Sus scrofa: one gene and its partners. The protein of the gene in region 2 purifies or fractionates together with the protein of the main gene of each other region. This does not show direct contact. Links are inferred from orthologs where the notes say so. Each region holds a gene or a part of one and is shown on either strand. Other genes may lie near its edges.

Region 1 (4,003 bases), on a different chromosome or scaffold from region 2:
TACGCCAGAGCCACAGCAACGCAGGATCCGAGCCGCGTCTGCAACCTACACCACAGCTCAGGGCAACGCCGGATCATTACCCCCCTGAGCAAGGGCAGGGACCGAACCCGCAACCTCATGGTTCCTAGTCGGATTCGTTAACCACTGCGCCATGACGGGAACTCCCCACATGACATTTCTGACCAGAAATGTCCCCTCAGAGTAGCTCTAAAACATTTAGGATCGCTAACAGTTCTTTTTTATTATTTTGTTTTGTTTTTATCTTTTTTAGGCCTGTACCCACAGCATGTGGAAGTTGCTAGGCTAGGGGTTGAATCGGAGCTGCAACCGCCAGCCTACGCCATAGCCACAGCAACGAGGGATCCAAGCGATCTCTGTGACCTACACTGCGGCTCACCACAACGCTGGATCCTTTAACCCACAGAGCAAAGCCAGGGCTCAAAACTGTGTCCTGGAGTTCCCGTCGTGGCTCAGTGGTTAACGATCCGGCGTTGCCGTGAGCTGTGGTGTAGGTTGCAGATGCGGCTCAGATCCCAAGTTGCTGTGGCTTTGGCGCAGGTCAGTGGCTACAGCTCCGATTCGACCCCTAGCCTGGGAACCTCCATATGCCAAGGGAGCGGCCCAAAGAAATAGCAAAAAGACAAAAAAAAAAAAAAAAAAAAAAAAAAAACTGTGTCCTCATGGATACTAGTCAGGTTCGTTACTGCTGAGCCACAACAGGAAATCCCTCTAGTGATTGGATTATTCATACAGTCATTGCAAACAGCTCTTTTGCTGAGGAAGAAATAAAGCAAACATTCAACAGGACAATGTGACAGGTTTTCACAATGGCAGATCTTACTATGTCCATTTCACCACTACTGGCCCATACCTTGTCCCCACTTCTTCCCTAATAAAGATACCATAGTATCACCTCATATCTTTTCACTTAAGACTCTAAATCCAGAACCTGAAGTAGAAGAAAATAGCAACAGCTCCCAGATCAGCTGGAACCAATATGCTACCACTCTGGCTCCAGGGTTTAAACCCCCAAAAACCCATAAATAAGAGTGAACCATCAAAACCCAGCTTATGCATCTGCTGAACCCACTCCTCTGAAGTTAGAACATTAAACTTTAAAAACAAGGGAGGGAGTTCCCATTGTGGCTCAGCAGTAATGAATCTAACTAGTATCCATGAGGATGTGGGTTCAATCCTTGGGCTCACTCAGGGGGTTAAGGTTTTGGCATTGCCATAAGCTGTTGGATAGGTCACAGACACGGCTCAGATCTGGGATTGCTGTGGGCTGTGGTGTGGGCCAGCAGCTGCAGCTCCAATTTGACCCCTAGCCTGGCAACATCCATATGCAGCATGTGTGGCCCGAAAAAGCAAAAACAAGGGAGAAGAGGAAGTTCCCCACCTGGCTCAGCAGTAACAAACCCAACTAGTGTCCATGAGGACGCAGGTTCAATACCTGGCCTTGCTCACTGGATTAAGGATCTGGCATTGCCATGAGCTGTGGTATAGGTAGCAGACACAACTCAAATCCCATGTTGCTGTGGCTGTGGTATAAGTCTGGCAGCTACAGCTCCAACTGGACCCCTAGCCTAGGAACTTCCATATACCATGGGTGCGGCCCTAAAAAGACCAAAAAAGGAAAAAAAGTGGAGAGGAGAAGAAAAAATCCAGAGCAGAAGTCTTCTTGCAGGACAATCCTATAGAAAATTGGAGACACCCAAAAGAATCAGGCCAGGAGTTCCCATAGTGGCTCAGTGGTTAACGAATCCAACTAGGAACCATGAAGTAGTTGTGGGTTCGATCCGTGACCTTGCTAAGTGGGTTAAGGATCCGGCGTTGCCGTGAACTGTGGTGTAGGTTGCAGACGTGGCTCGGATCCCTCGTTGGGCTGGCTCTGGCGTAGGCCGGTGGCTACAGCTCCGATTCGACCCCTAGCCTGGGAAAAAAACAAAAACAAACCAGGCCAAAGCCCAAAGACATTAACGATGCCACTAGAATAAAATGCATTATAAACAAGCAGTTTGGATGCATCTGGTAACTGTATAACTTATGTTGTTAACATACAGAATGCCTCCTTTTTTTTGAGAGGAAAGGGCAAAGGACACTAATAGAAAGTTTGAGAAATGGGCTGAAATGGCAAAAAGTCCAAAAATTTAGTTTTTGAGTATATTCTTCTTAGATGCAAAGAACAACTTCCATTATGGCACATGCTCATAAGCCACACTGATCCAAGATGCCTTTTGGCTATAGTTTTTCAGCATCTCTATTATCATGTACCTTCAGCCTGTTAGCCTCCTTAAACCCAAATTTGGGACTCACCCACCCCAAACTGTGATGGATATTATCATTCAATCTGACTTTCTTTACAAAAGCCATGGCACTCAGCAGAAATGAATCTGATTAGTATCCATGAGGACGCAGGTTCGATCCCTGGCTTTGCTCAGTGGGTTAAGAATCCAGTGTTGTCATGAGCTGTGGTGTAGGTCGCAGACACATCTGGGACCTGGTGTTGCTGTGACTGTGGCATAGGCCAGCGGCTATAGCTCCTTTTCAACCCTTAGCCTGGGAACCTCCGTATGTTGGGGGTGCAGCCCAAAAAAAACAAAAGAAAGAAAGAAAGAGACAAAAAATTAAAGCATGGTATTACCCACTCACTTGAACTTTCCCTGATCAAAATGGGGTGCAGCCCAAAAAAAAACAAAAGAAAGAAAGAAAGAGACAAAAAATTAAAGCATGGTATTACCCACTCACTTGAACTTTCCCTGATCACCAGCTTGTTTATTTTTGGTGTTTCATTAAGAATTTAAAAGTGGAACCTACTTTTAAGAAATGATTACACGGGGAGTTCCCGTCGTGGTGCAGTGGTTAACGAATCCAACTAGGAACCATGAGGTTGCGGGTTCAGTCCCTGCCCTTGCTCAGTGGGTTAATGATGCGGCGTTGCCGTGAGCTGTGGTGTAGGTTGCAGACGCGGCTCGGATCCCGCGTTGCTGTGGCTCTGGCGTAGGCCGGTGGCTACAGCTCGGATTCAACCCCTAGCCTGGGAACCTCCATATGCCGCGGGAGCGGCCCAAGAAATAGCAACAACAACAACAACAACAACAACAACAAAAGAAATGATTAAATGGTTTTTTTTTTTTTTTTTTTGTCTTTTGTCTTTTTAGGGCTGTACCTGTGGCATATGGAGGTTCCCAGGATAGGGGTCGAACTGGAGCTGTAGCTGCCAGCCTACACCACAGTCACAGCAGCGGGATCTGAGCCGAATCTTCGACCTACACCATAGCTCATGGCAATGCAATTCCCAACCCACTGGGCAAGGCCAGGGATGGAACCCGCAACCTCATCGTTCCTAGTCGGATTCGTTAACCACTGAGCCACAATGGGAATGCCTAGAAATGCTTAAACTGTTAATGGAGTATCTCTTTGATAAAGCTAGATGCAGCTTAGACAAAAAACAAAGATTCTGTACTACTATACTGACCTCAAGTTGTCTCAGATAATCATAGATATCTTTCACATATTCACTACAAAGGTTTGGATCCCCTCCATCTTCTGCATCCACATCATTCACTGCAAGAATTACATCAGAGAAAGCCTGACACAAATATTCTTCTGCAGGGGCACAGCCAGATGTTTCCATGGGGCTTGGAGAGGGAGTATCAACCTGAAACAGATTTTGAAACAACAGTTAAGAAGAGCACACGGTCTGCGAATAAAGGTCAGATAACTGGTACCAACTCAAAAGACTACCTGCTGAATAGATATACAATTCATTTAGCTTTTCAAATTTATTCAGTGTATCTTCAGGAAATAATAGGAAAAGTAAAATGCCAACTTAGGCTGAGCCAATTTAGAGGCAGCAGCTAAACAGTTACAACAGAGAGGAAGCAAATTCATATTCAAGACTTTCCTCCAAATAAAACTGGTAAGTAATGGATCTGTTTAGCGATGTCATGTGAAGTTAATCCAAGTGAATATGTTAATCCTTAGTCTTTATTTCAAATTA
Region 2 (4,003 bases):
GTTCAGTGGATTAAGGATGCAGCACTGACATGAACTGTGGTATAGGTCACAGACACGGCTAGGATCCCGCATTGCTGTGGCTCTGGTGTAGACTGGCAGCTTGAGCTCCAATTCCCCTAGCCTGGGAACCTCCATATGCCACTGGTGCTAGCCCTAAAGTGACAAAAAGACCAAGAAAAGAACTTGTTGCTAAGCATAGCTAATATCACAGAGTATTTACATGTCAACAGAGTGCTAAGTACTTTCGTGCATTAGCTCATTTACCTATCAACCACAACCCAATTATTTTCATTTTACAGATGAGAAAACTAGGCCTTACAGATTAAGTGATGTGTCAAAGATTTGGCTTCATAGCCAGACTGGACAACTCCAGAGCAAGAGCTCTCTAACTTACGCTGTTTCCCCTCTAGAATGAATGAAGCTCCAATCAGGCAAGTCCAGAAGCCAAGCTTGCAGGGAGAACCAGACATCAGTACAATAGCTTTGACCTGTTCCATAAAAAGCCCTACAAGGAGGCTGACAGTGTTCCCAGCATTCAAGGCAGAACAAACTCATTTCTGTATTCTCTCTCAAGACATCTTACAAATTGCTAAAGAAATCATTAGGAGAGTTCATGGAGGCCGTAGGTTCCAGAAGTAGTAAGTTCAGATGTTTATAAGGAGTATAAAATGTGGCATTTTAGCAGCAGATGAGGAAGGAGAGAAAACAGATACAGAAATACAGTGAGAAAGAAGACTGGAAACAGCTGATTCACTGAAGTCTTGGTGTCTACCCTATGTAAGGCACCCCACCAGGGTGTTCCTGGACTTTTTAAAAAATTTTGTTTTATTGGAGTATATATAGTTGACTTACAATGTGGTATTAGCCTCAGGGGTATAGCAAAAAATGAGTAAGTTATACATATATACATCCTTTCTTTTTTCCCATATAGGTTATAACAGATTATTGAGTAGATCTTCCCATGCTATACAGTAGGTCCTTGTTAATTACCTATTTCATATGCAGTAGTATGTATATGTTATTCCCATCCTCCTAATATATTCCCTCCCAGTAGTTTCTTCTATGGTTACCATAAGTTTGATTTTGAAATCTGAGTTTGTTTTATAAGTTATTCTGTATCATTTTTATTAGATTCCACATATATGTGATATCATATGATATTTGTCTTTGTCTTGTTTTTGGACTTTTTTTTTTTTTTTTTTTTTTTTGGTCTTTTCTAGGGCTGCACCCACGGCATATGGAAGTTCCCAGGCTGGGGGTCTAATTGGAGCTGTAGTCACAGGCCTATGCCAGAGCCACAGCAACTCGGGATCTGAGCCTTGTCTGCAACCTACACCACAGCTCACGGCAAAGCCGGATCCTTAACCCAATGAACGAGGCCAGGGATCAAACCCGTAACCTCATCGTTCCTAGTCAGATTTGTTAACCACTGTGCCACGACGGGAACTCCATTGTTTTTGGACTTTTGGATGCACCCTCTAAGCTGCCATTTCAGTTACTCTGAGATTCCCTGGGACTTATTGGTTCTGTTCTTTCAAGAAGCCTTTTCCTGGAGTTCCTGCTATGGTGCAGTGGGTAAGAATCTGACTGCAGTGACTTGGGTCACTGTGGAGGTGTGGGTTCAATCCCTGACCTGGCAGGTTAAAAGATCTGCCATTGCCACAGCTGTGGCATAGGCTATAGCTATGGCTCAGGAACTTCCATAATCCATTGTGCAGCCATAAAATTTTATTTTATTTATTTTTAAAAAACTTATCATAAAATTTAAAAAAAGGCCTTTTCCTAAACTTCCAACTCATCCTAGGGTCAGCACAAAAAAGACCTGGCCAGACCCTTCCAGACAAAGTGTTCAACTCTTACCTGCCAGGAACCATTTGAGATGCTTTATCGGCATTATCTTAGTAATTCCCACAACAGCACTACAAGGGACTAACTGCTACTCCTATTTCACAAAGAAATAAAGCCTAAAAATAGTCAAGATCACAGATAGCAATCAGTAGGATTCCAATCCGGTTTCTCGGACTCCAAAGACTATCATGACTTCGGTGATGGTTTCGTCTCCCAGGAAGCAGCCCAGCTACTTCTCCATAACTGGACACAAGTGGGTTTGACCTCTGCCCTAGGTTAGTACGTTAATGCCACACTCACGTTTTCCTTGTTTTCGTCCTGGTCAATCAGCTGAAAGACATCATGGTCAAGAGAATCAGAATGGCTCCTCTTCAGAGCTGGACTACACCCCAAGAGCTTCTGCTATCAAAGTGGAAAAAGGAATTAGGGTACATAAATGAAAACTCAATGGAAATTCAATTCTAAAAGAAAAAAAATGCTAGTGGTGGGATAGGGAGGCTTAGCTCCTCACACACTGTACTAAGTAACCAGTAAATGCGGCTAGGGCTCCACCTTGTGAGAACACAGGATAGAGGGTCTCACTAACATGGCTTTACACCAACTTCACAAGGTCTACAGCCCTTTTAGGAGGGACTCAGGTATCAAACACCATTTGCATAAAAATAAGCCTTCTTGGCTTGATAAAGCTGAATAGTTAGAAATGGAGGAAAAAGCCCAAGAAGTAGCCAATACTGAAGTGGCTTTAGGTAGTGTTTTGAATGCTAGTGAGACTAAGTAAGGAAAAGCAGGCTTTGGGTCTAAATTAAGGTCTGCTTTCAAGGTCACACTGGTAGCTAAGGGGCAGAGAATAAGTATCAGCTCAAAATAAACAAGAGAACTTACAGGTAGGGAATTTATTCTCCTCATGGGATTTTCACGGCTGCAATGAGTTCAAAAAGTAAATAATGAGAATAAAGTAAAGAAATATTCACATTAGCAGATGCACAGTGTCTAACCTACAGTTTGGTGGGGTAGGGGAAGAGTCAAACATATTCCCATTTTAGGCAAGATGGAAGAACAGATTTCTGAAGCTGTCCTGCTCTCACAAGCATCCCTACCACTGGACTTTTCTTAAAAAAAAATACACATGCTTAAGACTATGATATCAGAAGGCAGAACAAAGGTTAGGGTGAGACTGGATCAGAACACCAAAATTACAGCCAAAATAAAGGAAGGAAAGTTCTGAAAACTGCTGATACAAACTACTCATTTTCAAAAGATAACAAGACTATTTATAGGATACAGGAATCTTACTAGGGGTAGCTAAATCCAGAGCTCCAGTCCAGAGCATGAGGAATTTCATTAAAAAATATTCAGTTTTGGAAGTTCCTAGTGGCCTAGGTTAGGACTTTCACCACTGCAGCCTGGGTTCTATCCCTGGTCTGGGAACTGAATCCCACATCAAGTCACTGCATGTAGCAGACAGGAAAAAAAAAATTAGGTTTCTTCTAAGCACAGACATTTAAAAGCAGTGAATACATACTTTTCTTTACTGTCCAAGGGCCCAGGAGAATCCAGACAGAAGCCTGTGGGAAGTTAAAAATAATAGTACTAGTACTGTTTCTTTAAGGCAGTCAATAAAGACTCATGGCTTAGATTTTCGGCAGAATTGACGTTGAGGCTCTAGGATCCCCAATTCATAGGGGTATTAAATCCCCAATTTGCACATCAATTCATCCTTTCCTACTTGCAAATATTATCACAGAAAATAGGATTCGAGGAGAGTGAATTAAACCAAACCCCATGACTTATTTACAAGCAGATGAGGCTCAGATCTTGAGTTGCTAAGGCTGTGGTTTAGGCCAGCAGCTACAGCTCCAATTAGACCCCTAGCCTGGGAACCTCCATATGCTGCAGGTGTGGCCCTAGAAAAGGCAAAAAGACCAAAAAAAAAAAAAAAAAAAAAAGGGAACAAATTTACGGTTACCAAAGGGGAAAGGGGGAGGAGAAAGGCATAAATTAGGAGGTTGGGATTAGCATATACACACTACACATATACAATAGATATTAACAAGGTCCTACTATATAGCATGGGAAGCTATATTCAATATCTTGTAATAACTTATAAGGGAAGAGAATATGAAAAAGAATATATATGCATATAACTGAATCACTC
Region 3 (4,003 bases), on a different chromosome or scaffold from region 2:
TGTGGTTACTGATACATGGACTTAAATATAGCACTGCATTTGAATTTAGAATTAAAATTCAGTATCAATGAATTTAACAATTTTAACTCAAAAGAGGTGCTGAAGGCTGTGCATTAGAGATGTCTTATACAATGCATTAAAAACATACCAGGGAGTTCCCATCGTGGCGCAGTGGTTAACGAATCCGACTAGGAACCATGAGGTTGCGGGTTCGGTCCCTGCCCTTGCTCAGTGGGTTAACGATCCGGCGTTGCCGTGAGCTGTGGTGTAGGTCGCAGACGCGGCTCGGATCCCGCGTTGCTGTGGCTCTGGCATAGGCCAGTGGCTACAGCTCTGATTAGACCCCTAGCCTGGGAACCTCCATATGCCGCGGGAGCGGCCCAAGAAATAGCAACAACAGCAACAACAACAACAAAAGACAAAAAAAAAAAAAAAAAAAAAAAAAAAACATACCAGGATTAGCTCGAAAAGTGTTCCTTGGTCGACTTTCAGGAATTCTTGATCCCAAACAGGGATATCATCTGTTCGCTTTTCCTTGTTCTCATCATCCTCAGGAGGAGGAGGATCATCCTTATGGTGGGTGCACCACTGAATGACCTGTTACAACAAAAGTTCATTCCTCTGTGGCATTTTGTGACAAGGTACTCATTCCAGGACTGGGGCAAGGTTATTCATACACTGGGCTAAGAACTAGCTATAGTCGAACTGGATAATCAAGTTAGTAGCCAAGCTTTTTAAAAGCACAACCCTTGAGGACAGAATATCTTAGGTAACAGTGAACCATGCAGTCAGATTACTATACATGACCATATGAAAAAGCTACTCTGCAAAAAAAAAAAAAAAAAAAAAAAAAAAACCCAAAAAACATTAAATTAGAAATAAACATGTACAAGCCAGCAAATGACCACACCATAAAATATAAAATCTCAAAAAAATCTCTACAATAGACTAAAGATATGAAAAGGCAGTTTATAAAATGTCTGAATAGTCAAAGAGGAGGAAATTCTCAGCTTTATTAAATGCAAAATTAACACTACAGTCAGAAACTACTTTAGATCATGCCCCCCAAAAAGATATATAAAAATCAAGACGCTGGAGTTCTCATCGTGGCGCAGAGGAAACGAATCTGACTAGGAACCATGAAATTTGCAGGTTCGATACCTGGCCTCTCTCAGTGGGTTAAGGATCCAGCGTTGCCATGAGCTGTGGTATAGGTCGCAGATGTGGCTTGGATCCCGAGTTGCTGTGGCTCCGGTGTATCCCAGCAGCTGTAGCTCCAACTGAACCCCTAGCCTGGGAACCTCCATATGCCGCAGGTGCAGCCATAAAAAGACAAAAAACAAAACAAAACAAACAAAAAATCATGACGTTGATACTAATCACTGACAATAGTGTGAGGATAACATGAATGCTTCTACTGTAGAGTGTAAATTAGTATAATCCCTTTGAAAAGTAATCTAGGAATACCAAGTAAGCTGAATGAGAATGGGTGTTTGCTGTATAATCTAACTTTTCTGTATGATTAAAAATTTTTTTAGTTTATAATGTCGGGGGAATAAACAATGCTGAGAGACAATGGGAGAGCTGAGAAATTATAAATTACATATAAATTCTATATTTATAGATAAATTACATATAGATTGTATACCACCAGGATACAAAAAAAGAGAAATAACTATTTCCAGAAGAAAAAGCCAAGCATAAAGGGCTTTAATTAAAGCCCATGCTCCCAATGCCCAGAACTTTCTTCCCCCATAGAGTCATGTCTTTGTTCAAAGATCATCTTCTCACCTTAAGGCATTTCCTGACCATCTTTGTTTTAAAAACAGCCAACTGCTCCCTACCATACCACTTTACTCCAAAGCTTTTCCATGTGACATACTGCTTATGTTGTACACTTCCCCCACACCTTCAGAATGCAGACTCCCTAAGGACAGCAATTTTGTCTGTTTAGTTCACTGCTATACCTCCAGCACCTAAGAGAGGCCTGACATTTGAATGAATGCAAGAAAAAGCCCTTTTAGAAGCATTTTGTATTGGCATAAAATAGAATGTTAGTTTGCAAAGACAATGCCCAGAAGTCAGAAAGGAGATTTACTTAGATAAAATACAAAGCTTCTGAACCAAAAAATACTAAGAATTGACAAAAGACAAGCAAATTGATAAAAACTATATAAAGAACTCCTATAACAAGCCTACTAGACTATGAAATGGGTGCATTTTGAAAACATTATCCTAAGTGAAATAAGTCAGACACACAAGGATTAAATGTTCTATGATCCCATTTTTATAAGGTACCCAATATAGTCAAATTCATAGACACAGAATACAGAACAGTGGATATAAGGGTTTTTTTACCCAGACTAGGCACAATACATACATACATACATACATATATAAATTTATTTTTTTGCTTTTTAGGGCCACACCTGTGGCATATGGAAGTTCGTAGGCCAGGGGACCAATTGGAGCTACAGCTGCTGGCCTACGCCACAGCAACGCAGGATCCAAGCCACGCCTGAGACCTACACCAGAGCTCACGGCAAATACGGGATCCCTGACCCACTAGGATTGAACCCACATACTCATGGATATCAGTCGGATTACTTTCTGCTGCCTGACAGCAGAACTCGACTAGGCATATTTAAAAGACTGGTAATAGCCAAGTGTAGTAAAACTACGGAAACACATGCAGCGCAGCTGCATCTCATTCCAGGGTCAAGAGAAAGCATAAAATGTAAATATGTATGGTTAAGGACCTCTCAAAATCCCTGAGGAAGGCCCCACCTGGAACTGACCACTTCCATCTCCAAGCCTAGCCAGTTCTCCCCCCAGTGTGCAAACTGCCGGCTTTCTTCAGAAGAGCAAGCAGTCCAACAGCTGTCTCTGTTATGGAGCCATATGCCCTGAAACACTAAAATCCTATTCAACAGAGTGGCCTGTTGTTTATGCTTGGAAAAAGTGTTGATCAATAAGTGACGGGGGAAACACATGGTCGTGTTCTCTAACTCGCTGAGGTATACCCATTCAGTAGATAAGCAATTCAATATTTAAAATGTGTTAATGAAAAAGACTACACAATTTAAATCTTCAGAGCCTGGTTAAATCAACTAAAACAAATATCTTAGTCATAATCTTATATAATTGTTTGGCTGTTGTTTTTTTTTTAATTTTTAGGACCACACCAGCAGCATATGGAGGTTCCCATGCTAGGGGTCGAATCAGAGCTGTAGCCACTAGCCTATGCCACAGCCACAGCAATGCTAGATCCGAGCTGTGTCAGTGACCTACACCATAGCGCACGGCAATGCCAGATCCTTGGCTCACTGAGCAAGGACAGGGATCAAACCGGCGTCCTCATGGATGCTAGTCATGATCTATGTGTCGATATAGAAAGATGACGGAGATACTGCTAAATGGATGCATACATATGTATGTGTAGAGTTTGCTACCTTACCTTTTTTAATATTGCTGCATTAACATTTGGTAAAGGGACTGGATCATCATCTCCTTCATCATCCATTCCCAAATCTAAGAAAACCAGAAGAGAGTCTCTATTATATTCTAACTCCATTATAACATTTACACCAACCAGGCTGTCTCAAACAAGTAACTTGCAAGACATGCTATCTCAAAGACTATAAAAGGGCATTACTAAAAATAGTTCTTTCAAAAGCACTTAAAATAGACAGTTCCTAGCAACAGCTCCAAGAACTACCCAAAACTATATAAAGTTGTATGAGTAGAGAAATGCAGGAATATTATAAAAAGGCAGTTCTTAATTAGGAAGAAAGGCGACTTAAGAAGTAGGAATGGAGTTCCCATCGTGGCTCAGTGGTTAATGAATCCGACTAGGAACCATGAGGTGGCGGGTTCGATCCCTGGCCTTGCTCAGTGGGTTAAGCATCCGGCGTTGCCATGAGCTGTGGTGTAGGTCGCAAACTTGGCTCAGATCTCACATTGTTGTGGCTGTGGTACAGGCCAGTGGCTACGGCTCCGATTT

What was found. Proteins that work in one complex are often made in the same cells at the same time.
Region 1: the proteins of CDC25A (region 2) and CCNB1 purify together in Homo sapiens (affinity purification with mass spectrometry; 3 studies listed by BioGRID, with this or other methods). This does not show direct contact. The link is inferred for Sus scrofa from reciprocal best matches to the Homo sapiens genes CDC25A and CCNB1.
Region 3: the proteins of CDC25A (region 2) and SKP1 purify together in Homo sapiens (affinity purification with western blotting; 6 studies listed by BioGRID and IntAct, with this or other methods). This does not show direct contact. The link is inferred for Sus scrofa from reciprocal best matches to the Homo sapiens genes CDC25A and SKP1.

What each region holds. Positions count from the first base shown.
Region 1 is NC_010458.4:47,341,024-47,345,026, reverse strand, and holds part of CCNB1 (G2/mitotic-specific cyclin-B1), read right to left. Parts: intron 3,662-4,003; coding exon 3,479-3,661; intron 1-3,478. UniProt on the Homo sapiens protein: Essential for the control of the cell cycle at the G2/M (mitosis) transition.
Region 2 is NW_018085145.1:105,754-109,756, reverse strand, and holds part of CDC25A (M-phase inducer phosphatase 1), read right to left. Parts: intron 3,414-4,003; coding exon 3,371-3,413; intron 2,768-3,370; coding exon 2,731-2,767; intron 2,251-2,730; coding exon 2,149-2,250; intron 1-2,148. UniProt on the Homo sapiens protein: Tyrosine protein phosphatase which functions as a dosage-dependent inducer of mitotic progression. Directly dephosphorylates CDK1 and stimulates its kinase activity. Also dephosphorylates CDK2 in complex with cyclin-E, in vitro.
Region 3 is NC_010444.4:136,462,577-136,466,579, forward strand, and holds part of SKP1 (S-phase kinase-associated protein 1), read right to left. Parts: intron 3,532-4,003; coding exon 3,458-3,531; intron 598-3,457; coding exon 454-597; intron 1-453. UniProt on the Homo sapiens protein: Essential component of the SCF (SKP1-CUL1-F-box protein) ubiquitin ligase complex, which mediates the ubiquitination of proteins involved in cell cycle progression, signal transduction and transcription.